Rhinolophus ferrumequinum: one gene and its partners. The protein of the gene in region 3 purifies or fractionates together with the protein of the main gene of each other region. This does not show direct contact. Links are inferred from orthologs where the notes say so. Each region holds a gene or a part of one and is shown on either strand. Other genes may lie near its edges.

Region 1 (7,892 bases), on a different chromosome or scaffold from region 3:
CTTAAAACTGCGTTCTGGGGCAGGCCCGGTGGCTCAGGCGGTTAGAGCTCCATGCTCCTAACTCCGAAGGCTGCCAGTTCGATTCCCACATGGGCCAGTGGGCTCTCAACCACAAGGTTGCCAGTTCGATTCCTTGAGTCCCGCAAGGGATGGTGGGCAGCGCCCCCTGCAACTAAGATTGAACGCGGTACCTTGAGCTGAGCTGCCGCTGAGCTCCCAGATGGCTCAGTTGGTTGGAGCGTGGGCTCTCAACCACCAGGTTGCCGGTTCCTCTCCCTCAAGGGATGGTGGGCTGCGCCCGCACAACTAGCAATGGCAACTGGACCTGGAGCTGAGCTGCGCCTTCCATAATTAAGACTGAAACAATAACTTGAAGCTGAACAGCACCCTCGACAACTAAGATGGAAAGGACAACTTGACTTGGAAAAAAGTCCTGGAAGTACACACTGTTCCCCAATAAAGTCCTGTTCCCCTTCCCCAATAATAATAATAAAAAAAAAAAGCACTAAAAAAAACCCAAAAACAAACAAACAAACAAAAAACCCTGCGTCCCTTTATCCAATCATTTCTCCAAATGTATTTTCCTTTGTTGAAGATGCTATATAAGCCAGAGTGGTAAGCCTCCTCTTTGAGTCACTTATTTCTCTTTGGGTATCTCACATGTGTATGAGGTCTGACAATTAAGTTTGTGAACTTGTTGCAAGGATGTTGCTAACCTTTTTTGATATCAGAGGGATTATTCATTATGAATTTGTACCAACTGGACAGTTAACCAAGTTTACTATTTGGAAGTGCTGAAAAGCCTGCGTGAAAAAGTTACATGACCTGAACTTTTCACCAATAATTCATGGCTCTTGCTTCACGACAATGCACCAGCTCACACAGCACTGTCTGTGAGGGAGTTTTTAGCCAGTAAACAAATAACTGTATTGGAACACCCTCCCTACTCACCTGATCTGGCCCCCAATGACTTCTTTCTTCACCCGAAGATAAAAGAAATATTCAAAGGAAGACATTTTGATGACATTCAGGACATCAAGGGTAATATGACAACAGCTCTGATGGCCATTCCAGAAAAAGTTCCAAAATTGCTTTGAAGGGTGGACTAGGTGCTGGCGTCGGTGTATAGCTTCCCAAGGGGAGGACTTCAAAAGTGAACGTAGTGATATTTAGCCATGAGATATGGAGCACTTTTTCTAGGATGAGTTTGCGAACTTAATTGTCTGACCTTGTACATGAGACTTCTGTGTCTTTGTCTTTGTCTTTTATTACAGCGGTCTCAGCCAAGACCTCAGAAGGATAGAGGGAAACTATTTTTCCTCCTGTACAATACTTTAATGAAGCTCTATTACTCAGCTTCAACAGTAACATTTTGCCAAAATGCTTCCATTTCGTCTATGCTAGCCACGTTTTTTGCTGGAGAAACTAAAAGCAAATTCCAACTATATCATTTCACCTGTAAATACTTCAGTGTGTATCTCACAGATATGGACCTTTTTTTAACAAACCAAAATACCAGTATCATACCTAACACAATTAATAATTCCTTAATGTCATCTAATACTTGGTCCTTATTCAAATGATCCCAATTACCTCAAATTGTCTTTGTACAGTTGTTTGCTTAAATCAGGAACAAGCAAGCAAGATGCACACATTACTTTTGGCTGATTAAGGTCTTCCTTAGTCTCTAAAGGATAACTGCTTTTCCTTTTTACCCCAAGCTAGTTATTTGTTGAAGAAATTGAGTCAGTTGCAGTGTCAGCTTTCCCACTTTCTGGATTTGGCTGCTCGCACACTTACGGTATTTGTTCTGATGATGATCTGTCTCCCATATTTCTTGTAAAGTGGCAGTGAAATCTAGAGGTTTGAATACAATAAAACCCCAATCTTTTGCCAAAAATACATCGTAGGTGGTGCTAGATACTCTCTATTCCATCCCTTCAGAGGACCTATCAACCTTCTGTATGATGGTGTCAGTATCCACAGACAATCAATGCCTAGGTTTATTATTTCATTAGGGTTTGCTAAATGATTTTTAAATTCGATCATTCCTTCTGTATTTATTAGCTCAAATTCTCCTGTTAAGATACGAACATTCCCTTATTAATTATATGGTTATGTTGAGATAGTATACAAGAAAAGTAAAATGCTTGATTCTTTCCTTTTATTTTAAGAAAATAGAAATCAACTTTTATTCTGTTAAGCCACTGAAAATTTGAGGTTGACCTGTTATTGCTAACATTATTTACTCTAATATCCTAACTTCCCAATCACCAAGGTGATTCAGTAAAGCACAGATTTTCCAGGAAAACACTGGATATCAACCCTAAGTAGAGATGCTCCACGACTCACGATGAACCCGATAAACCCATCATTAAAATTGAAAATATCATAAGTTGAAAAGGTATTTAATACTACACAATAGAGTATCGGTTGTTCACCCTCTTGAAGGCGTGGGTAACTGGGAGCTATGGCTCAATGCCACTGGCCAGAATCACGACAGAGTATCATAAAACATACTGCTAGCCTAGAAAAAGATCAAAATTCAAAACTCGAAGCATGGTTTCTACTGAATGTATATCACTTTCACACCACTCTAAAGTTGAAAAATCGTAAGTCAAGGACCATCTGTAGTTAAAAGAAAATTGTACCAGAGTAATAACAAAATATAAAACCTTCCAGTATTTTGCATACTAGAGTACACAGATAAATTAATTATATAAAATGTCCTTACACTTATTGAAATCTTTATATGTGTGTGTGTGTGCGTCTGTGTGTATACTTTTTTTTTCCTTGCTGTTTTTAGAGAATGTTTATCAGTTTATTTGAGCCCAAACTGTAACAACTGCTGGGAAGCCAGACTTTAAACGCGCCCTGCATTTATATTTTTGAGTCCCACTTTGGTTAGTGGTATATAATATCAGATAAAAACAGGAATCTTTTGCAGTAGCATGGCTACACTTGAGCTAATTAATAATACTGTCTGGGAAAGGGCAGAGGAAGTATGAAAGAGTAAACAAGGGATGGAGAATAAAAGTAAGGGAGTGAGTTCTGGTAAAGTTCAAGGCTCATTTTTGGGGGGAGGAATGGAAAAAAGACAAAAAACTCAGGGTGACCCTCCTTCCTCAGAACACAGATGCTGCCATACAGCAGAGGGCGTAGAGCTTCAGTTCATTTGTCTAAGTGGTCCCTTCACTCCTACTCAGGAAGTGCAGCAAGAGGCTTGAGACAGATTTCTTTAGGATGTTTTACAATTCCTTTCCGATAAGCCTAACAATTTTATTCATTTTGGCATCCTTATTCATTTTGGCAGCCTCGGGATGCACCACAGTGCCTAGCATATAGCACTCATTCAGGAAATGTTAACGAAGAAATGGGTGATTAAGAGTGTGCAGGTCCTATGGCCAGAAGAGAGGTTCCCAATCCCAGTCACCCACTCGTTGTGTGACCTAGGGCAAGTCTCCTAATCACGCAGAAATCATTTCTTCACCAATAAAAAGGAAATACTACTACTTGCCTTGTTTATCTACCCGGCTCCTTAAGTGGCTTTACACATGAGCAGCACTGTAAAAGACTGTACATAGGTGTGTAGAGTTTGGGGAGTGCTGTTGACGAGTATGAATGGTAAGATGAAAAAAACCCTGGACTCAAGAATCAGAAGGCCCAGGCTGTTATGCAGGCTAATCTGCTGTTTTCCCATCTTAATTAAACATGAAGAAATTTAGACTCGATGACGGTCCAGGCCCCATGCTCTTAATGGTAAGTCGGCTAGAGTTTGAAAAACTCAGGTGTGAGTTCTCAAAGACGGAAACTTCGGGGCCCCTGGATGCAATAGCGGGGGAAAGGACAGTCAAGGTCGCGGGGTCCTAAGGTGGGGGTCGCTCACCCAGTCAAAGTCACACGGGTTGCCATCTTCGCGTTGCGTGGGGAGAGTGTGGCAGAGCGGGGGCAGCTTCCTCACGAGAAGGAAGGCAGCAGAGAGCAGGGCAGACAGAAGGTAGTAAGGTCGGGCCAGCCATCGTGAAAGGCGCGGCACCGAATACACCAGAGCAATTAAAGGTGCCAGGACCGCCATCTTCTTGGCCCCGGGGCGCTCGCCGCTCTTCAGGGTCGATAAGTCTGGCCCCGCCTCTCCCACCATTGAGACTTCCATTGGGCCTAGTCTCGGATGCACCGCCTCCGGACCCGGAAGTGTATCTATGATTGGCCACTACAGTAGGGAGGACCTGAAAAACGGATTTCACACTTTATTGGTCAACCTAACTGTCGTTTTTTCCACCTAAGTCATTTTATTGGATATGTGACTGTGACGAGCGGAAACAACAGAGAAATTAATAGGGTGAGATAGCACATCCTGAACGTGCTCAGAAAGCGACGGAAGTAGTTGCCGGAAAAAGTAGGCGGGCCCCAAGACATCCAATGATAAGCGGCTCACGGAGGAAGAGGGCGGTACACCGTGAAAAGATTGTCCAATGAAAACCACTAGCGCCAGACACCCGGACAGCGCCGGAGTAGAGGGGAAGATGGAGAATTTCACGGCGCTGTTCGGAGCTCAGGCTGACCCACCCCCGCCTCCAGCCGCACTCGGCTTCGGACCAGGAAAACCTCCACCCCCGCCTCCCCCTCCTCCAGGCGGGGGACCTGGCACGGCTCCGCCCCCCACCACGGTCACGGCCCCTCCCGGCGCCGACAAGTCAGCAGCTGGTTGTGGTCCCTTCTACCTAATGAGGGAACTGCCAGGTGAGTACTAGGCCTGGCCGTAGCCAGCCAATCAGATCCTAAGGAGGGGGTGATGGGCGTGGGTCTTAGCCGGCCGGCGGAGGTGCAAGGTAACCTAGACAACGCGTGTTAGGCCCTTGGAGCTCTAAGTCCAAAGGCCTCTGAGAATTCACAACCAAACCGATGACGTGAGTCTTGGGGTGGATTCAAGGTGGGAAGAGAATGCATCTCCGTAACCATTTTTCACGCTATATCCGTTCGTTGTCCCTGACACTGGTTTATTATGGTTCCCTAAAAATTATCCAGAGTGAGTTTGGAACTCGAGAGTCCCGATTCAACATCACTGTGGTCCTGAGGTTTTCGTTTCAAATCTGTCACAAACTTGCTCTTGATTTGGAACATGTTACCCTCAGGGTCTCAGCGTTTCTTCATCTGTTTGAAGAAGTGACAGAATTAAATTAAATCAGATTCTTTCAGAAAGTGATTTTGTTGAGCATTTGCTGTGTACCACTGTTCTAAATGCTGAAGATACAACTGTGAACGAGACTGACAGGATCCTTGCTTTTTTTGGAGTTTACATTTCAGTGGGGGAACGCAGAGTAAACCAGATTAACAGCAGATAGTGGTTAGTGCTACAAGGAAAAAAAACACGTCAAAGAATTAAGGGGACACAACTACTTTAGCTAAAGTGATCAGAGAAGCCCTTGCTGAGTAGGTACCATTTGAGCTAAAATGGAAGCATAGAAAAAGAGCCAGCTATGTAGGAGTGAGAGGGATAATTCTAAATACAAGAAATGAAATCAGAAGCCCTGATGTGAGAAAAAGCTTGGAAAGGATAGAAAACCATTTGGACTCCAGTGACGTGAACAGGGAAAGAGTGACAGAAGATATAGGTGGGCCAGGCAGGCAGAGGCGTTTATAAAGCATTTAGATTTTAAGTTCAGGGGGAATCCATTTTAACACAGGATGGTGACATAATCTGACTTATTTTTAATCATTCAAGCAGCTACACAAGGGATGGAATGTGAGGGAATCAATCAGAAGTTAAACTGCTCAGTAATCCAGTTAAGAGATCATGGTTTGGACTAAATGATAGCAGTAGAGGACACAAATGAATGCATACAAGATAAGTTAGAGCTGACTGGAATGAAGGACTGAATATAAAAATAAGGAAGAGAGGAGTTAAGGATGACTTGTAAATTCTTGGCCTGAATAATTGAGCGGACGGTAGTATGGAGACCAGGAAGGAACAAGTTTGAAGAGGTGCAAGTCAAGAGTCATTCTGAACAAGTTAAGACTCCAACATGCCTTTCAGTTAATCCCAAGTCCTACTGCTACATCACCAGTCGAGGGAAATAATAATGAATTTAATACGTAGAATAGCCCTCTGAAGTAGACATTATCTTCACTTTATAGTTTAAAAAACAAGTATAAAGAGGTTGACTTCCCTTTGGTTGGTTGGTGGTTGATGTCTACCAGCAGTTTCTTTATCCTTACCAGTTCTGATTGTATCTCAATTAATTGACAGATGTTGAATAGATATTCTGGACAAACGCGGGGTGTGTAGAAAGGTGGGGGCATGTGGTGAGAAGAGAGATTAAAAGCTTATTTTACTTAGGGATGCAAATTATGTGGTTTGAGGACAGTGACCATATTTCTTGTCAAGGCCAATCTCATTACTTTGTGGTCATGCCTCACATAGGGCAACTATTAAGAACTACATGATGGTTTTCAAAATGTGTTCCTTGTTATCCAAAATGACAGCAAGAAGGGTGGCCAGTTAGCTCAGTTGTTTAGAGGGTGGTGCTGGTAGCACCAAGGTTGCCAGTTCGATCCCCACATGGGCCACTGGGAGCTGTGCCCTCCTTAAAAAAAAAAAAAGATGACAGCAAGAATAAGTTGTCACTTGACTGGACTTTGAAGAATTCATGTATTGGTGAGGAATATTAGGAAGAATTTTCCTATAATTAGGTCCTAACAGAAATTTTCCTGACAGAAATTTCTTAAAAGGAAACACTATGAGGGTGTTTTGTTTTTTTTTCAGGAGATAATGGAGACCCATTTTGGATGGATCAGAAAGTTTGCATAGGGGACTGATGGTTGAGTGGGCCCCAAAGCTAAGTTACAGTAAGATGTGTTTAACCATGAGTGCCAGTCAAAGGAATTGAGCTTTTTCCTGAGAGTAATAGGAAACCACTGATTTTTGAACTGAGGAGTATTGCTTCTAAAAATATCTCGAAAATGGGTGTGCCATGTATTGAAATAGAGAAACCATCAATGAAGTGAGGAAGATTCAGAGTTTTAAAAAAAAAATAGAATCTGCATGGAATTGACTAAGTGGAAGTTGGAAATACAAGATTAGTTTTCAGGAAAGGAGTCAGGGCCGGAGAGAGAGATTTATAAATCATCTTCATAGAACTGATAGAAAGTTGGATGGACTCAGAAATAGCAAAGTGCCGTTTCACCTGAGCCTTGAGCATAACCACCTGGAAGGAGGAGAGCTGACTGGGGCGGGGGAACTCAGGACACTGTAATGGCATAAGGTAGTGCCAAGTTATGAGGAAAGGCAGTGTGGCACTGAGCCTCTGATAGTAACAGATCACTTTTCTGAGATGTTTGATATGAAAATACAGAAAAAGAATAGGGTAATGCCTAGAGGTATGAAGGGAAAAAAATTCCTTGTTCATTTAATAGTTATTGAGCACCAAGTGTGGCTGGTTTGGGCATCAGCCATACATGAGTGAACAAGGCATTGTCTGCCCTCAGGGCTCACAGTTCAGAACCTGAGTTTTCCCAAGTGAAGGATTATAAACAAGCAACTTTTGTCATTTTACCCTTTGTGTTTATCATAACTCTAGATGAACTTGTAGGCTAGATATTCCCACCCTTGCCACTGGGATCCTTATTAAATTACTAATGAGTTTACATTATTTGGCAAAAGTCAGATATACAATATTTATGCTGAGATTGCCTCACATTTATATAATACTTTATATTTTTCAGTATGTTTTCATTTGAACCTTGCAAAAAAATTTAACGCACTTAAGATAGTTATTACCACATTCCATAGATAAGAAACTGAGGCATAGAGGACATCTAGGATTAGAATTCTAGTTGCCCAGCTTCTAATCAAACATTTCTTTTTTCTAGGCAAAGCATTATACTCATTATTA
Region 2 (7,853 bases), on a different chromosome or scaffold from region 3:
AAGTTTTTAAATTCATTAGAATAACAGAAACTTAAGTTTGACAGTATCAGGTACCGCTAGGTTTTGGAACAATGTGAACTCGAATGCATGGTTTGGAATGTTAATTCATACAGTCACTTGGGAAATGATTTGGTGGTAGCTCGCAAAATTGAAGATATGCCCAAAAACTCAGCAGTTTCACTTCTAGGTATATAATAGAGAAACTCCTCTTGCCCAGGTGTACCAGGCGACATAAACAAGAGTGATTACTGCAGTACAGTTTATAATAGATACTGGAAACAATGTGTAGTAGAGATTACTAGCTGTCCACCAAAATCTGCACTCAACTTGCAAAATTATAGGATTATAAGACAAATGGCTAGACCCCATTTCCCAGCCATTCACCGCAGGGAAGGGGAAGCCAACTCTCCAGTGGAACATGAGTGGAAGTGACATGTGTCACTTCCATGCTACAACTTTTAAGTGAGTGAGTGTACTTCCATGTTTGCTTTCCCTTTCCTTGGGTTAGATGCACGTGATGATGGGCTGTAGGGGATGGCAGAGCACAAAAAGGAAGAGAGTTAACTCCTTGAAGACTACTTCCGTGAAGAACTACTTGCCAACCAGGAACATCTATCAAACTATTAGATGAGCAAGAAATAAAAGTCTGTTATTTGAGACATTATGCATTCTCGGGTCTCTGTTAACCTACTCTAATGCATAACCTAATTGTCCATCATCGGGAGAAGGGATAAATTGTGACGTAGTCCTATAGTAGAACACTATACAGCTATGAAATTAACTAGAGCTTCTTGTATCATGAATATATCTCAAAAATAATGTCTGGGAAAAGCAAGTTACAGAATACATCAAGTGTACCATTTTTATAACATTTAAAAACACACGAAAATGCTCTACATTGTTTATGGATATATGTAAATATAAAAGTACAGTATATACAAATATTTATATTTAGTATATGTATTTTAATATATATAAACATAGTATGGAAACATGCACAGGAATGATAAACACCAAATTTAGTATAGTGCTGGCATCCAGAGGGACTACGAGTGAATTTGGAAGTTCTTATTTCTTAAGGTGTATAGTAAGTTTGTCATAGTTTTATATTTTTTTGTATGTCTGAAATATTTCATTTTCAAAATCAGTTAACAATCAAAAAAATATATTCTGCTTACCTCCTTCAAAGGGAAAAGTTTAGAACATTTTCTTCTGCTTCATCTTAACCTTTGATTTTTCCCTCACCCAATAGTCTGCTCCCCCCATGTCTTCACTTCTATTTCTACGATCCCAGTTGGAACCATCATCAACTCTTGCCTAGACTACAGTAGGAGCTTCTTAATTGTTTTTTTCTGCTTTTTACTGGCTTGGATTCACTCCACGTAAGAAGGTTGTAGTGAGTTTTTAAAACTGTAAATCAGACTTCATTCACGTGCTAAAAGCCTAATGGTTTCCCAGGGCACTTAGAATCTAAGTCACTCCCTTTCCTTGTTCTACAAGGCGCTTTGTGTTCCTACTGCTGACCTTTTAGCCTCATCTTCCTCTGCTCCACCCATGTTCTCTGATTATTATTCCCCAACAACATGTTAGCCACACTACCTTTCTGAACCTACCAAGCTCATTCCCATTTTAGGGCCTTTGTATTCACTCTTCCCTCTTCCTGGAATGATTTTTACCCCATTTGCATTGTATACTTCATTTTCTCATTCAAGTCTCAAACTGAAGTTTACGTCAGAGGTCTTTTCCACCTGAACACACTTTCTGTAACATCACCCTATTTAATTTCCTTCATAGCACAGCAGAAAGTAGACATCTTTATTAGCCAACCTTCACACTAAAACATCATGATGGCTATTTTACCATAGCAATGAGATCTAAAAGCCTTCCTAAGTTTATGCAGCACCTAAGAACACTTGCTCTAGTCCTTATTTAATCAGCGATATTTTAGGAATTACTGTGGGTTAATCCTTGATTTTGGTGCCTATGGGAGGGGTTCTTGTTTTTGGCGCATGCCTTGCAGTCGTTGCCTCCCCCGGATTAAGCCCTCCACATACCACTGTTCCTGCTGCAGCTGCCGCTTCTGAGTTTTGAACTGTCTTTGAGTAGTCTGCAACTTCTGGCATTGCCAGGTTTGCTGCAATAGTTCCTTCTGTAACTGCTGGTTCTCTCTGCGGACACTGCGGTACAACTCAAAAGTATAATTCTCTGCTGCCAACTCTAAGGCCTGGATCTTCCTGTTAAGCTTCTTTCCTTTTCTCTTTCCCAACTGCCTAACATCTGGCTCACTCAGTTGTTTCTCCAGTAATGCTTTTTCCTGGAGGTACTGGACCTGGATTTCCTGTTTCTTTCCAGTTGTCTCAGCTTGGACTTTTCTTTTCTCCTCCTCTAATGTCTGCATTGCTCTCTCCTGTTTCTCCTTTAATAGTGAAACGTCCCTCAATGCCTGCAACTGCTGGTTCAAATCAGATTGGATCTTGCCCTTCTGCAAGAGCTCTGTGTTAAGCTCTGATGTTTGTTTCGCATATTTGGAGGCTGATTCTTGTCTCCTTTGTTCAGTCTCCCCACTTCTTTGCAAATAGCTGTTCCACAGCTTCTCAAATTGCCTTCTATACCTCTCAGTTTTGTTGGTCAGGTATTCCAGAAAGAATTTATTTTCAGCCTGGACATGTAACTTTTCACTGAGTAGCTGCCAAGTTTCCTTCATTAGCGGTTCTTGCCAAATTTGAGCTTGTTTTATTTGCTTGTCCAGCGTCATCATTTCCACTGTCGTTTCTTTAAGCCCCATCAGTGCCATTGTTAGCTTCTCTGGCTCAAAAAAATTATTTATTAAACTAAGATACGGTGGAGGGGGACCACTGGAGTCCTCAACAAACCTGAAGGAAGAACAAGTGAGACATTCCCCCATCAGTTCTTCATTAAAATTTAGGAAATAAAAAATGCACAATTGTACTTTAATTCATACAAGAAAATATTTTGAGCACTTATTTAGTGACACTGCGAGGAGGCATGGGGTATGATATAGCTTGGGTAAAGATGAGGGAGTGTACTTTACAATTTACAATATGCATTCAGTACCGCCCTGTAATGTATCTCATTTTTATTATTAGTTTCAGGTGTACAAAACAATGTAATAGACATTTATACCCCTCACAAAGTGATAACCCCCACTCCCCCAATCTACTAGCCCTCTGACATCATATATAGCTGTTACAGTTCCATTGCCTCTATTCCTTATGCTGTACTCCACATCCTGTGACCATATATATATATATATATATATATATATATACACACACACACACACACACATATATATATATATAATTGATATTATTCAGCTTCAGATGTACACTGCAGTGGTCAGACACACCGTCCATGAAGCAGTCTCCCTAATAAGACAAGTGTCCGTGGGATACCCTATAAAATCTTTACAACATTATTGATTCTATTCCCCAACTGTCTTTTGTATCCTGGTGCCAATCTTGTGGTTATTGATTGTGCTTTCTAATCCCCTCACCTTCTCCCTCATCCCCACTTACCTCAATTTTAAAGGGAAAACAGGTTCAGGGAATTTATGACTTGGCCACGATTTACACCGCTAGCAAGTGGCAGAGCCAGCCAAGGTGTGAAACTTAGATCTATGACTTAGTTAACAACTACAAAGGGCCACCAGCACATACTCGGTGGTCGGGAGCAGGAACAAACGTCTCGGCTCTAGCACCACCTTTTCGGTTTCCCAGGACGCTTCCGTGGAGGGAAGCGCTCCTTTAGTACCTACTTGCGACTGGAATCCCAGCGTTTCTCCCCAAGGTCTAGCTGTAGTTCATTGAGGGTGACTGCCAAGGAGCTAGTGTCAGGGGACTGCGACACACGGATACAGCGTCCCGCTGAGGAAACTTTTCGCAATTTCTCGGTTCTGTGTTCAACGGGTCTGGGCGCTGCCCAGCAACCCCGTAGGTACCCAGTCCTGGCCGGTCCAGCCCTGGGCTGCTTAACTTCCGCCGAATAAACCTTAGCCTTCGTTTCTCGGTAGGCTGTGTTCCCCGCTCCTGGTGGGCGAAAAGTGAAACGCACTCTCTTTTTCGTAGTGTGGGGGTCCTGCCCTTGGGATCCTAGGTCCTCTTGTTTCCATGGGAACCAGAGCTTTGCCCTTCCCAGGCCCAATCCTAAGACCATGAGCTCCAATTTTTCTGGCCCACTCCAGTCCTCTTCCCACACTCTACACTTCCCCGCCATTGCCACTAGTTGACTCCCGAGCCAGGTCGGGACAGGAAGATGCTCTGGCGCTCGTTCGCTCTTCCCTTTCTGGCAGGTGCAGATCTACCCTCGTTCGCAGCCCAGAACATTGCGGAAGTCTCTCTAGCCACGCTGCGTCGCTATGGTAGAGGGGGCGGGGCCAGGGGAAAGATGGCGGCGTCCGCGGCTGCTGCTGCGCCGCAGGCTTCGGGGGGTCCTCGGCCCCCAGTGTGTTTGTTGGTGTTGGGAATGGCGGGATCTGGGAAAACCACTTTTGTACAGGTGACGTACACGGCGCGGGCGTAGTTGGTGTGCTTGAGGTTGTCTGTGGCGGGTGGGGGAATGGGAGGGAGGTCTCTGGGGTGTTGGAGGGGAGCAGCGCGTGGCTTTGGGGACTTGCCAGCATCTCCGGTTCCTTCCTGAGCGAAGCCTTCTCGACCTGAGCCTGGGTTAATTAACGCTCTCTTTTGTACACTATCGGTGCGTAGTACTTGGTACAACTTAAGTAGTTGTACTGGAATTGTTTTAGCGATAATATTGCCAACTCCTGGGAGGCAGAGGCTTACAAGTAAATAGTGATTAATACAGTGCTACCACCCAGACTTTCAGTGTAGATTTCTAAAGAATTACATATGTCTTGCATGCCTATTATATAATATTTTAGATGTGGATGAAAAGTAACTTCACAGGGTGATCTGATCATAAATTCCTAATGGGGCAGGTCGTGGTGAGTAGTGATGGCCCAGGCATATAACTGCTTTAGTAAAAGGTTTATCTTTGCCTTAAGCAAGCCCTGTCCATTGTTTTTGTGCATCTAGGTTGGTTAACAACACACCTTTGAAATGCCTCTTTTTCGAGAGAGCATGTAATCTTATTAACTATCCTGTAATCTGACACCCCGCCTTCTCCCACTTTTAGTTATTTAATCTTCTTTATGTTTACCTTCTTAATTCCAAATGCATAAAAGAAACTGTAAAACTGCCATTCTCAGGAGAATCTGAGATCTTGCTTCCTGGCAATTGTTGTCAAATAAACTCTTATAAATATTCTGTACGTGTTCAGTGAAAATGAGGTTGACAAGGTTCCTGCTTTCAGGAAACTACTGTTATACTGGGGGTGATAGAGAAAACCCCCACACAAAACAAGTAAATGATCAAGAGTAGGGGAGGCTCTGTTAAGTGGGTAATAAAGAAAGGTAGCATTTCAACAGAGTTCAACGTTGGAAGTGAATGTTTCAGATGGAAGGAAATGTCCTTTATCCCCTTATCATGCCCTCTTTGTCTCACTCAATCCCTCTCCCCATATTGCTGCAGAGGCTCACGGGACACCTGCATTGCCAAGGCTCTCCACCTTATGTGATCAACCTGGACCCGGCTGTGCATGAAGTTCCCTTTCCTGCCAATATTGGTAAGTAAACTGCCTCAGAATGGAAAGCCTCCAGCTTGCCAGTTTCAATGCTTTCATTTTTTCTAAACTACCGTGTTTCCCCAAAAATAAGACCTAGCTGGACCATCAGCTCTAATGCGTCTTTTGGAGCAAAAATTAATATAAGACCAGGTCTTATATAATATGATATAAGACGGGGTCTGATACGATACGATACGATACGATATACTGGGTCTTATATTAATTTTTGCTCTAAAAGATGCATTAGAGCTGATGGTCTGGCTAGGTCTTATTTTTGGGGAAACACGGTATCTACTCTCCTTTGCTTGGATTTGCTAGAATCCCTAAACAGGCTTCTCCCTTATTCACATTTTCTCTTTGTTTACTTCTTTCCCAAATGTATTTCCTTACCACTCAGCATTATTTCTCCCCTCTTTCTGACCCTAGGGTGTCAGGCTGTTGTTATTTGGGAAAATGAAGTGACAGGAAGTCAGTCCTCTCACTTCTAGGCCATAAACCCTTCAAAAGGCTTTGATACATACATATACCTTTTTAGTTTCTTTTCTTAAAGTTAGAGTATAAGGGTTTTTGTGTGGTAGTTCACTTACTGATTTGTAGGAACCTTGCTTCCACTCTCAAAGTTACATGGGAAAATGTGTGTATATATGCACATGTACATTGTTTTGGGGAAAGTTTCCCAATTATAAGACTTTAAGAGGAATCTGTGACTCTAAATAAGAATGGATGTGATTCAATGTCATGATTCTAGATAGGATCTAGGTTTCTTGATTTCTAGACTATCACTGTGTGCCAATCCTCTTCTTATTCTTCTTAAACCTATTAAGCTGCTTGTACCCCGCACAAACTAATAGAGGGCCTTGTATCAAGAAGCAGAGATTGTTTTGAGAAGAATTTGGGGAAAAATTGTTCATCTTACTCAAAGGATAGAATTCTAATTCTAATAGTTGATGGGATAGGTTTACAGACTGGTAGATGGGTTTAGTTAGATATTACTGGACAGATTCATTCTTTTTTTTAAAAATCATGTCTGCATTACCTTTGTTACCACTAAGGAATTAGTAAGAAATAAACGTTTTTTTCCTTGATTCAGCTCCCTTTTTCTATGCTTATGATCACTGACAAGGTATTTAAGTTGCATAAATCTTCTCCTGGTCTCTGACCGTCTCTACCATAACTTGAGAGCTCCTAGCCTAACATTCTTCCTGGGTTACCTGGCAGTTATCCTTTACGAGGGAGGAAACCAGTGTGAAGCTGGGGAAATTAGAAGACGATGCTGACAAGCGAATCCTAAGAGTCTAGTTTCAGTTTCTTGCTGGTAGAGAAGGTACAGGACACCTTTTGCCTTTCTATTCTTCTCTTCAAAATCTTGCTTCTTTTCAAAATCTTGCTTCTTTTGCTATCGTAATTCAATGATCTTAGCTTAAAAATTTAGGAAACAAATTTAAAAAGTAACTCAGATGCTGAGGGATAAACTTAATTTTTTTTCCTCAGAGGAAGCAGAGATGACTTGAGAGACCTATTGCTTAGAATATTATTGGTGGAAGGTCTCATGCTGTATTATTTCATATATGTTGAATTCCAGTTAATTCTTTCTTTCCCGTCCAGATATTCGTGACACTGTGAAGTATAAAGAAGTCATGAAACAGTATCCTTTTCTACATCTACTTTGGTATTGACTCATTTCTGGGTAGTTACCGTCTGTATATTTTGTGGCTTTGCAAGAGTGTTTTTTCATTTCCTTGTGAACTATACTAACAAAAGCATTTGAGTGCTTCAAAGTAATTTTATTAGGAGGATGGAAGATGGATGTGGGGAGAAGTATTGTAAGTGATTAGAAACACTATTTTAGCTTGTGTTTTCAGTTTTCTTACCATCTTCCTAGATTGCAGGCTGTTGTAGAGAGCTCAGAATGAGAGGCTAGCTGGTAGTGTGCCTAGATTCCAGAAAGTATTGTTGCCTTAAGGATCCATTGGTCACCACCTTTTCAGACTGGGAAACTCAGGAATGGGTAGGTTAGGGTAAGTATAGTCAATTCTAAATATGTTCCTGTGTGAAATACATACTTTCCCTATAGGTAAATTTAGGTCAGAAGACTAATTATAATCAGCAGGTTGCTTGATTAGCGAGGGTCAGAGCAAGGAGCCTTATATAGATGACCTTAACTGCTAATGCCAGCAGGCTGTCACTGCATGACGCATCTATTACGTTTT
Region 3 (8,027 bases):
AACCCTTTTAGCAGACCCTAATACTTCTACTTCACAACAGAGTTCCTTGGCTCGGTTTGGGACAGTGGTTTAAGGCATCAAATAGATCAATAGATGGATACAGAAGCCAACTACCTTAAAGAACCTTTTATCTAAAATCTTGAGGGTTTCATTCTACTAGCTAGAATATTTAGCAAATTCTTGCCTTTCTGACTGTTTGACAAGAGGGTATACATGACTGAAGTAAGTGCTATTCCTGACCTGAGTCCAAAAGCGAAAAATGAGTTGAAGTTAAAGTGACAGAACATTATTAGAAAGCACTCCAGTTACTCTGAAGTTATGGATTGCAAAGAAGAAAAAACTGGACATAGGCAATTATGCTAGGAGGGAAAAAAAATTAAAAGAGCCATATGATTCTGATATGAGTCACCAAATGGAATACAATTCTGAGAATGAAACTGTGATCCTGATGAGGCAAGGAAGGAAAAGTACCTAAGAAACCAATGTTGTTTCACAGGTGAGATACAGAGATAATTAGGCAAATTAGAAACTAGTCAGTAACCAGATTCAAAGGAAACTGATTACAGATCTGTGGTAAGGTTGTATCCTAGATGCACACTTGAGTCCGTCAATGATTTGATGATCAAAACTGCAAATGAATAAAAAGTGACATTTACTGAGTTTGTAGGATATAGGCTGAGCTTCACACCATACAATCAAAAGTGTCCAGGAGATCCTGCCATGGATTAAAAAGATATATAATACTATTCTCAGTTATGCTCATCTGAGGGCACTTATACAAGAAATTCAGTTCTTAGTGTCAGACAAAAACAAGTTAGAAACCATTCTGAAAACGTGCCTGGATGGATGAACAGCCTGTCTCAGAGGAGGAAATAATGTCTATAGGTAGGAAATAATGACAAAGAATCAGGATTGTCAGCACAGGAAGTACTCAGGAAGTTGGATGAGCCAATGAAAGAGAAGAAAATGGGAGAGTGAGGAAAAGACAGGACATCATACTTTAAAATACCTCAAAGTCTGGCAAGGGAAACAGGCATGCATTTCATACACCTTGAGGAACAATGGGCATACGTTACAGGGAGACTGTTCAGCTCCACAAAAAGAGCAGGTCAGAGATCAAATAGGTTACCTTGGGAGGCAAGGTGACACTGCTTCAGCTGATAGTGAGTCACTCCTCACTTCAGGTCAAGCTGGACGCCCTCTTGATGGCTATGTTATAGAGGGGATTCAAGCATGGACTAGGTGGCCGGACTGCAGTGATATTTATGATTTCTTCCAACCTCAAAATCTACGCTTCTGTAAATGTCTTGCTAACTAAGGTAACAACCACAATACTGTAAGTAGGGTGTCAGCAGTGAAGCCCACCAAATGGAATACAGAACTTGATGGCATACAGATTCATTCCTGAACTGTTGCTATGAATGAATCAGAACTGAGTCTATAAGGAAAGTATACCTCCTTTCCTGTGTTCTGTCAATTAAGACGGTACTCATACAATTGAAGGTTAATCTAAAGTTTCTAAAAAACATCAAATACATACACAATTTTCTTTTGTAATTCCAGGGGTGTCATAAAACCAGTGGGCATCTTTCACATCTTGTGGGGTCAGTTCTACTCGTTTGGTGGACTTATCTGCAACCATCACAGGTTCATTTTCCATGTCAAAGGCAAGTGAATCAGCATCAAACTCAAAGGCAGCTTCATCCTTCTGTTCTTCTGAATACAAGAATGTTCTTCCAACTCGTCCTAGAATAAGTTATATTGAAGTTATTAGCCACTCCTTTAAAGCCTTTGACTCCAGACAGGTAATTCTCATGTTCAACTCAAGTTACGAAGACTAATATGGGGTATGTAAGTGAGACTACAATGATAGCTTTGCTTTTTTCTTTCTAAGTCAGTGGGAGTCAGACTCTTGTGATCATCAAGTGTGTGGCTGGCTGTGTATATCAGAGGGAGGTGGGTGGTGAGAACTGGTGGAAGTCAAACTGCATTTGTAAATGAAGGTTGAAAAGAGATAACCAATGAAAGGGGGACCATCTAATTTAGAGCTGCTGCATGGAGTCAACAACCTGTACTGGTCTTCAAGGAGCGAGGCTACATCTTTGTGGAAATTCTTCTGCTGACAATGGCTAGGTGGGCAGTTGCTTCATGATTCCTTTCCAGCATTTCTCCAAGTATCTACTGTCTCAGTTTTCTTAGCACAGTGAACTCTGGCTTTCCAAACATCCACCTTGCCTCTAAAGGGCCTCTATATTCCAGAACGAGAAAAGTAGTCTCTCCCAGCAAAAACTGGCTAGCCTCAGACAGCTGTATTTCAGGTTGCTCAACAAAGAATTTGAGCATAGATCCACCAAGAGTTTTCCTCTAGAAGATGCTTACCTACTACATAACCATGCTTTTTCAGGAGAGTAAGTTGATTTTGTTCTAGCTGACTAAGATCTTCTTCAACTTCATTTGCATTTTTTTTTAGCCTTTTTTGCCTTTCAAACATTCTGTAAGGAGTTGGGTTGCAAATAGGAAACTTCAGAAGGTTTAATGTAGTACCTGAAATATCAAAGAATACATTTTTATAAACATTGCACAAGGGAATAAAGGGAGGAAAGCTAATATTTTCAAGGAGCAACACTGTCTTGGGCACTGTAATTTATTTCACTTAACCTTCATGACAACCCTCTACAAAATTATTCTTACTTTACAGATGAGGAAATAGATTCAGAGAATGGCTCACAGGCTCAACCTGGAGGTGAATCCCAAACCCGCAGGCCTGATTTCTTTCCATCTTCACCATACTATATAAAAGTACTTCTGTGTATAATTCATAGTTTAGGACAGCAAAGAACAGCTTACCAAGCAAAATCAAACACTGGTTTCAAAGGAACAAATAATGCCATTAATTTTGCCAACTATTAAATACAAACAGGGTCATAGATGGACCCATTTCCCAGTCACAGAAGTTCCCTGAAGCCACAAAATTGACGTCTTCTAAAGCCATACATCATATTGCATTAGTGAACTATTTAAATGTTAAACATGTGTGGCAAACTGATATCATGAACTCAAGATATGAAGAGTAAGATTGAGGGGTAAAGGGAGGTTTAGAAAGTCAAAGGGTTTTTCTGGGAAACATACAAAGTAAAGCCACAAGAGAAACCTCCAAGAAAGCAGGAACTTTGCTTTGTTCTCTGGTTTATCTCCAGTGCCTAGAACAGTGACCGAAAGATAGAAGTAAATATTTCTATCAGGAAGTTACTATGATAGAAACACAAATATTTCTATCAGGAAGTTACTATGACATATACTAACTTTTCAAGCACTAAGCTGACACAGAAGAGAGGTGTGACCAAAGTAGGGAGAGAATTTTTACAGGGAAGGATCCAGACACTCCCTGGTGGCTTTAAGGGGCAGGCATCCTAAGGCTCACCAGGCCAAGGGGAGATGGTAGCTCTGTCGATTGCCTCAGCGCCCTTGGCGATGCAGTAATCCGACTCCAGGAGCGTGTTGAAGAGAGTGGACTTGCCAGCGTTGGTGGCGCCAACCAGGTAGACGTCGCCGCGGTAGCGCCAGGAGCGCTGAAGCGCAGAGATCAATTCTTCCACTCCATAGCCAGTCTTGGCGCTGATGAGCCGCACGTCCCTGAGCACGGTGCGGGACCCGGTGGAAGCGTTCCAATTCTTCTGCCCGTCCGGTGGCCCGTCCCCGCCGGGGTGCTGTGGCCCTAAGTGGCCAGGGAGCCGCAGGAGCCCGGCGCGGGCACAGTCGTCCCACAGCCGCTCCCGGAGCCGCTGTAGGTAGCCGGGAGCGTCCTGGGGAAGCAGGTCCACCTTGTTTCCCAGCACGATCAGCTGCTTGGGGCCTACCAGCGCGGGCAAGTCGGGCAGCAGGGCGTCGGGCAGATCGAGCAGGTCCACCATGTACAGCACCAGGGCGGGTCCGGGCCGCCGCAGAGCGGCGCTCACCAACTCCAGGTATTGCTCGCGGCTCACCTGCAGGCGCAGGGCGCGCCGGTGATGCACCAGCAGCCAGCAGCGCTGGCACACGGTCCGCGCCAGCCCGCCGTCGGCCTGCGCTGCCGCGCTAAGAAACTTCTCACTGGGCAGGTAGCCGGGCACGGCAGGGTCCTGGCAATGCAGCTCCGCCCCGCAGCCCGAGCAATTCAGGCCGCTCCGCGGCACCGTCGGGTCCGGGTGCCCCACGACCGGGTGCACCCGGCGGCTGGTCCGTAACTTCTGCAGCCGCCGCTCCTCCTGCCGCTGTTGCTTCTGTCGCTCCTCCTCCTCCTGCCGCTGCTGCAGCTCGCGCAGCTGCTCTTCTAGGGTCGGTGCGGGCTCCGGCTCCGGGACGTACTCGGGGAACAGAAAACGCTCCTCCATGTCATCCCTGCCTTCGTAACCCCCAGTCGCCGTCGGGCCACCAGGAAGCTCACGTCCCAGGCCCGACAGGTGCTGGGAGGAGGGGGCGGCCGCGCATCTTCTCTTGAGGAGCGGATCCCAGAGGCCATGGCACGCTACGGTGGGAACCGAACCCCGCAGCAAGGGGCACAGCAGTCTACGGGTTAGGAGTGCAGGTAGCATGGGGAACCCGGCCCTGTACCAAGGGGCGGAGCCACTTGTGCGCACGCGTACTGGGGCCCATGTGGCATATTAAACCCGAGATTAAGCCCGGAACTACCTGAAAACTGTCAGGCACTTTTCGGCTCCTCCTCCCGCATCTAATCTCGTAAATTCTCGCGATGAAAGCCCCAAGGCTTAAGAGCCCGCTCAAAGATGTGGCAAAGGTACCGGACGGAGACCTAGAGTGTGCCGGTTGGGCAGAAGAAGCTTGTGAGGGTTTGGTCACTTTCAGCCTTCTTCAATGCGCCACCAATGGCATAACCCGCCTTTAATAAGCCACGTTTTAAAAAGCACTGTTTTTCGGCTTTAAAAGTGCAAAAAGTACAACGTCGAATGCCATACGCTGACGGCCACAATGAACACTTTTTACTAATTAAGTCTCTTATTTCTTTTTTTCAGGTGTCATTATTTGTGCAATATTGAAAAACGACCAAAAACTTTTCATTGGCTGGAACCGATCTTCAGACTGTAGGAGTGGTGTGCGCAATCAGCCACCGGACCCGTAGGCCTGCAGTTTGCGCGTGCGCAATTCTAACCCTTGTCCACTTTAGCCTACCATATGCGCAGGCGCAGATCTTACGTTGGCTTCTTTGTGGGTGGCCTTTGGCGGAAGACGCAGAGTATTCTGGGAACGCCGTCGGCGGAAATTACTTTGTCTCAGGCTCCTGGTGCTGGTCGTTGGTGCGCACCGTTCTGTCTGTGATTTCAAGAGCTTAGAGTTCGGGAACCGTTTGCAAACATGTATGACGCGGACGAGGGTAGGTGACCGCTCAGAACACTCCCCGGCGACCCATCTAAGTAGGGAAACGTGGGGAGCTGGACGAATTGAGGATTGGCCTTCCTCCTAGCCCGTTGCACAAGTGTCCACAGTCATGTTCCCTGCATACCCCAGGCCGGGGACGAAGCCGGGATTACGAGAGGTGGAGGGTGCAGGGAATGTAGCATTAATATTCCCGGTCTGAGTGGCACTTGTTCCTTCCATTGTCTGCTGGATAAATCATACCTCCTTCCTGTATTGGAATAGCGTGCAGAACCCTAACATAAATTCCGTTGTTTTGACTTTGTGTGCAGTGAAGGGTTCCTTTTTTCATTTTCCTTAAGGCCAGAATTAGTGGATTTATTGAATTTATGAGCGTCAACCTGGGCCAGGCTTTGTGTTAGTCTTTGGAAATACACCGGGGACAAAAAATACAGTGTGTGGTTGGACGGGGTTGGTCTAGTTTGGCATTCCTTCAATGCTGTCATACATCTAAGGCAATTGTCTGAAAAGAGGACATTTAAATTTCCTTTTCCCACAAAATAACATAGTTCTTAGATGGTACGTGTTCTACTGAACAGGGCCAATATATCTTTTCACGTGCCGAATTAGTCATGTCTCCTGTATTTTCATTATGTATTTTTAAAGCTCCCCTTTCCATTCTCCACAGCTACTATTTCAAACTTCATTTACTTCTAGCTCCCAGCCCGTAGCCACCCTTCACATTTCTTATTACCTCAGCTACTTCAAGGAGAAACTAGAAAAACAAAAGCTTAAACTCTGCTGTTTAAATTACTCTGTGTCAATTACATCTTGAGTCTAGAAATGTATTAGCATTACTATATTCCCTTAACGCCTCTCTGAGTGGAAAAGAAATTCAAAAAATTTTTCTTAATTTAATTTTTTGATTAGGTAATGTATTTCTGTGTCTCATAAGCCAGAAAATACAAAAATGTTAGTGTCAGGTCTCTTTTCTTGCCCACCATCTCCCAGTGTGAACCCCCTTCATAGTAGGTACCCACTTGTCTTAGATTATCACTCCATAGTGTTTTATGTACATTCAAGGAAATAAGTGGGATTCTGTTGCCACCACCCACCCATAGGAACATTTACACTTTTCTGTGTTTTTTATTTTTTACGTTTTATATATATATATATATATATATATATATATATATATATATATATATGTCTATGTGTGTATATGTGTGTGTGTGTGTGTGTGTGTGTATTTATCTACCTGGGAGATTTTCATATCCATAGAGAGCATTCTCATTTCCCCCCCCCCCAATGCTACGTAGTTTGAATGGATATGCCATAACTTTAGTGTCTTATTGATGGACATTTGGGTTATTTCCCCTTTTTCTTCCCGTGGTTCAAACAGTGCTGGAATTAATAATCTTGTACTTTTTTTTGTTTAGTACAAGTATGTCTGTAGGATAATTTCTAGATGTAGAAATGTCAGGTCAAATGATATACATGTTTAACATTTTGCTAAGTGACCAGATGGTGCCAAGTGACCATGATAGTGATTGTTGTGCTTTATCCTCTCATTCGCCATGTTAATAAATAATTCTGTGGAAAAAAGAGTTACAAGTCATCCTCTTGATAAAAGTCTTCTTCAGCTTTGAGTTTACATTCCTGCCTGTGTCCTTTGTATCTTTTATTAGATTTGTCAGTTTTCAGACACTCCTTTTCAGTTGGCTTCTTTCTATGTGAATTATTAGATCTCTTTTGTCCATAAGAAAATAAGTTAAACTCTTTATTGTTTCCTTTTTTCCCAATATTTTGCCTTTGGAAGGCAAAGCTTTCCACATTTCACAGCAAGCTTCTAAAAAGAATAGGCTGTCCTTGATTCAACCCCCACCTTTCAGGTTCTCCTCAACGCACTGCAATCTAATTCTGCTCATGCCACTACATTAAAACAGCTTTTAATAAGAATATCAGTGACTTCTCAGTTGGTAAATCAGGTGGGCATTTTTAAACTTTATCCAGACCCAGTGGTATTCAATATTGTTGATGACTTCCTTCTGGAACTCCTTTCTTTTGCCAGATCACTCTGACTTAATGGCTCTTACCTATGTTGTGACTTTCCTTTTTATCCTTTTCTGTTCACATTCTTCCTGGATGATTTCATCCATTCTCCATGGCTTCATTTACCATTTTATGTGAACGACTTCTGAAAATATATTTCCAGTCCAGATGTTTTGTATGTCTAACTGCCACTAGACAGTTTCACATGGATGTCTCTCAGGCCCTTCAAACTTGTCATTATTCAAATTGGTCATTTTCCTTTCCTCATCCCCCTTCCAAAGCTGCTTCCTTTTGTGTTCTCCATCTCAGTGAATGGTATCACCCTCCTCTGTTGTTGAAATCAGAATCCAGGGCATGATTCTTGATTCTTCTTCTTCACCCCTATACCTAGTGAGTCATCAAGCCCTGGGGGTTCTATCTCCTAAACATGTCAGATCTAGTCACTACTTTGTCTCCTTGCCCAGCTTATTTCTCCAGACTCCTAAGTGGTGTGTGTACTTAAGGTTTTCTTGCCTCTCAATCCACTCTCCACTCTGTGGCCATAGTGATTTTTCAGAAATGAAAATCTGATCTAGCTACAGCCTTGCTAAAATCTTAGACTGGTTCCGCAAAGCTCTATTGGTAAA

What was found.
Region 1: the proteins of POLR2B (region 3) and MED19 purify together in Homo sapiens (affinity purification with mass spectrometry; 4 studies listed by BioGRID and IntAct, with this or other methods). This does not show direct contact. The link is inferred for Rhinolophus ferrumequinum from reciprocal best matches to the Homo sapiens genes POLR2B and MED19.
Region 2: the proteins of POLR2B (region 3) and GPN1 purify together in Homo sapiens (affinity purification with mass spectrometry; 4 studies listed by BioGRID and IntAct, with this or other methods). This does not show direct contact. The link is inferred for Rhinolophus ferrumequinum from reciprocal best matches to the Homo sapiens genes POLR2B and GPN1.

Annotation. Positions count from the first base shown.
Region 1 is NC_046294.1:11,474,723-11,482,614, forward strand, and holds the start of MED19 (mediator of RNA polymerase II transcription subunit 19), read left to right. Parts: upstream 1-4,388; 5' UTR 4,389-4,472; coding exon 4,473-4,740; intron 4,741-7,892. Other genes in the region: TMX2 (thioredoxin-related transmembrane protein 2), read right to left, coding at 3,887-4,153. UniProt on the Homo sapiens protein: Component of the Mediator complex, a coactivator involved in the regulated transcription of nearly all RNA polymerase II-dependent genes.
Region 2 is NC_046296.1:53,152,761-53,160,613, reverse strand, and holds the start of GPN1 (GPN-loop GTPase 1), read left to right. Parts: upstream 1-4,349; 5' UTR 4,350-4,407; coding exon 4,408-4,518; intron 4,519-5,549; coding exon 5,550-5,643; intron 5,644-7,248; coding exon 7,249-7,288; intron 7,289-7,853. Other genes in the region: CCDC121 (coiled-coil domain-containing protein 121), read right to left, coding at 1,982-2,873, 3,779-4,236. UniProt on the Homo sapiens protein: Small GTPase required for proper nuclear import of RNA polymerase II (RNAPII). May act at an RNAP assembly step prior to nuclear import.
Region 3 is NC_046288.1:18,687,424-18,695,450, forward strand, and holds the start of POLR2B (DNA-directed RNA polymerase II subunit RPB2), read left to right. Parts: upstream 1-4,796; 5' UTR 4,797-5,349; coding exon 5,350-5,368; intron 5,369-8,027. Other genes in the region: NOA1 (nitric oxide-associated protein 1), read right to left, coding at 1,541-1,746, 2,380-2,544, 3,422-4,571. UniProt on the Homo sapiens protein: Catalytic core component of RNA polymerase II (Pol II), a DNA-dependent RNA polymerase which synthesizes mRNA precursors and many functional non-coding RNAs using the four ribonucleoside triphosphates as substrates.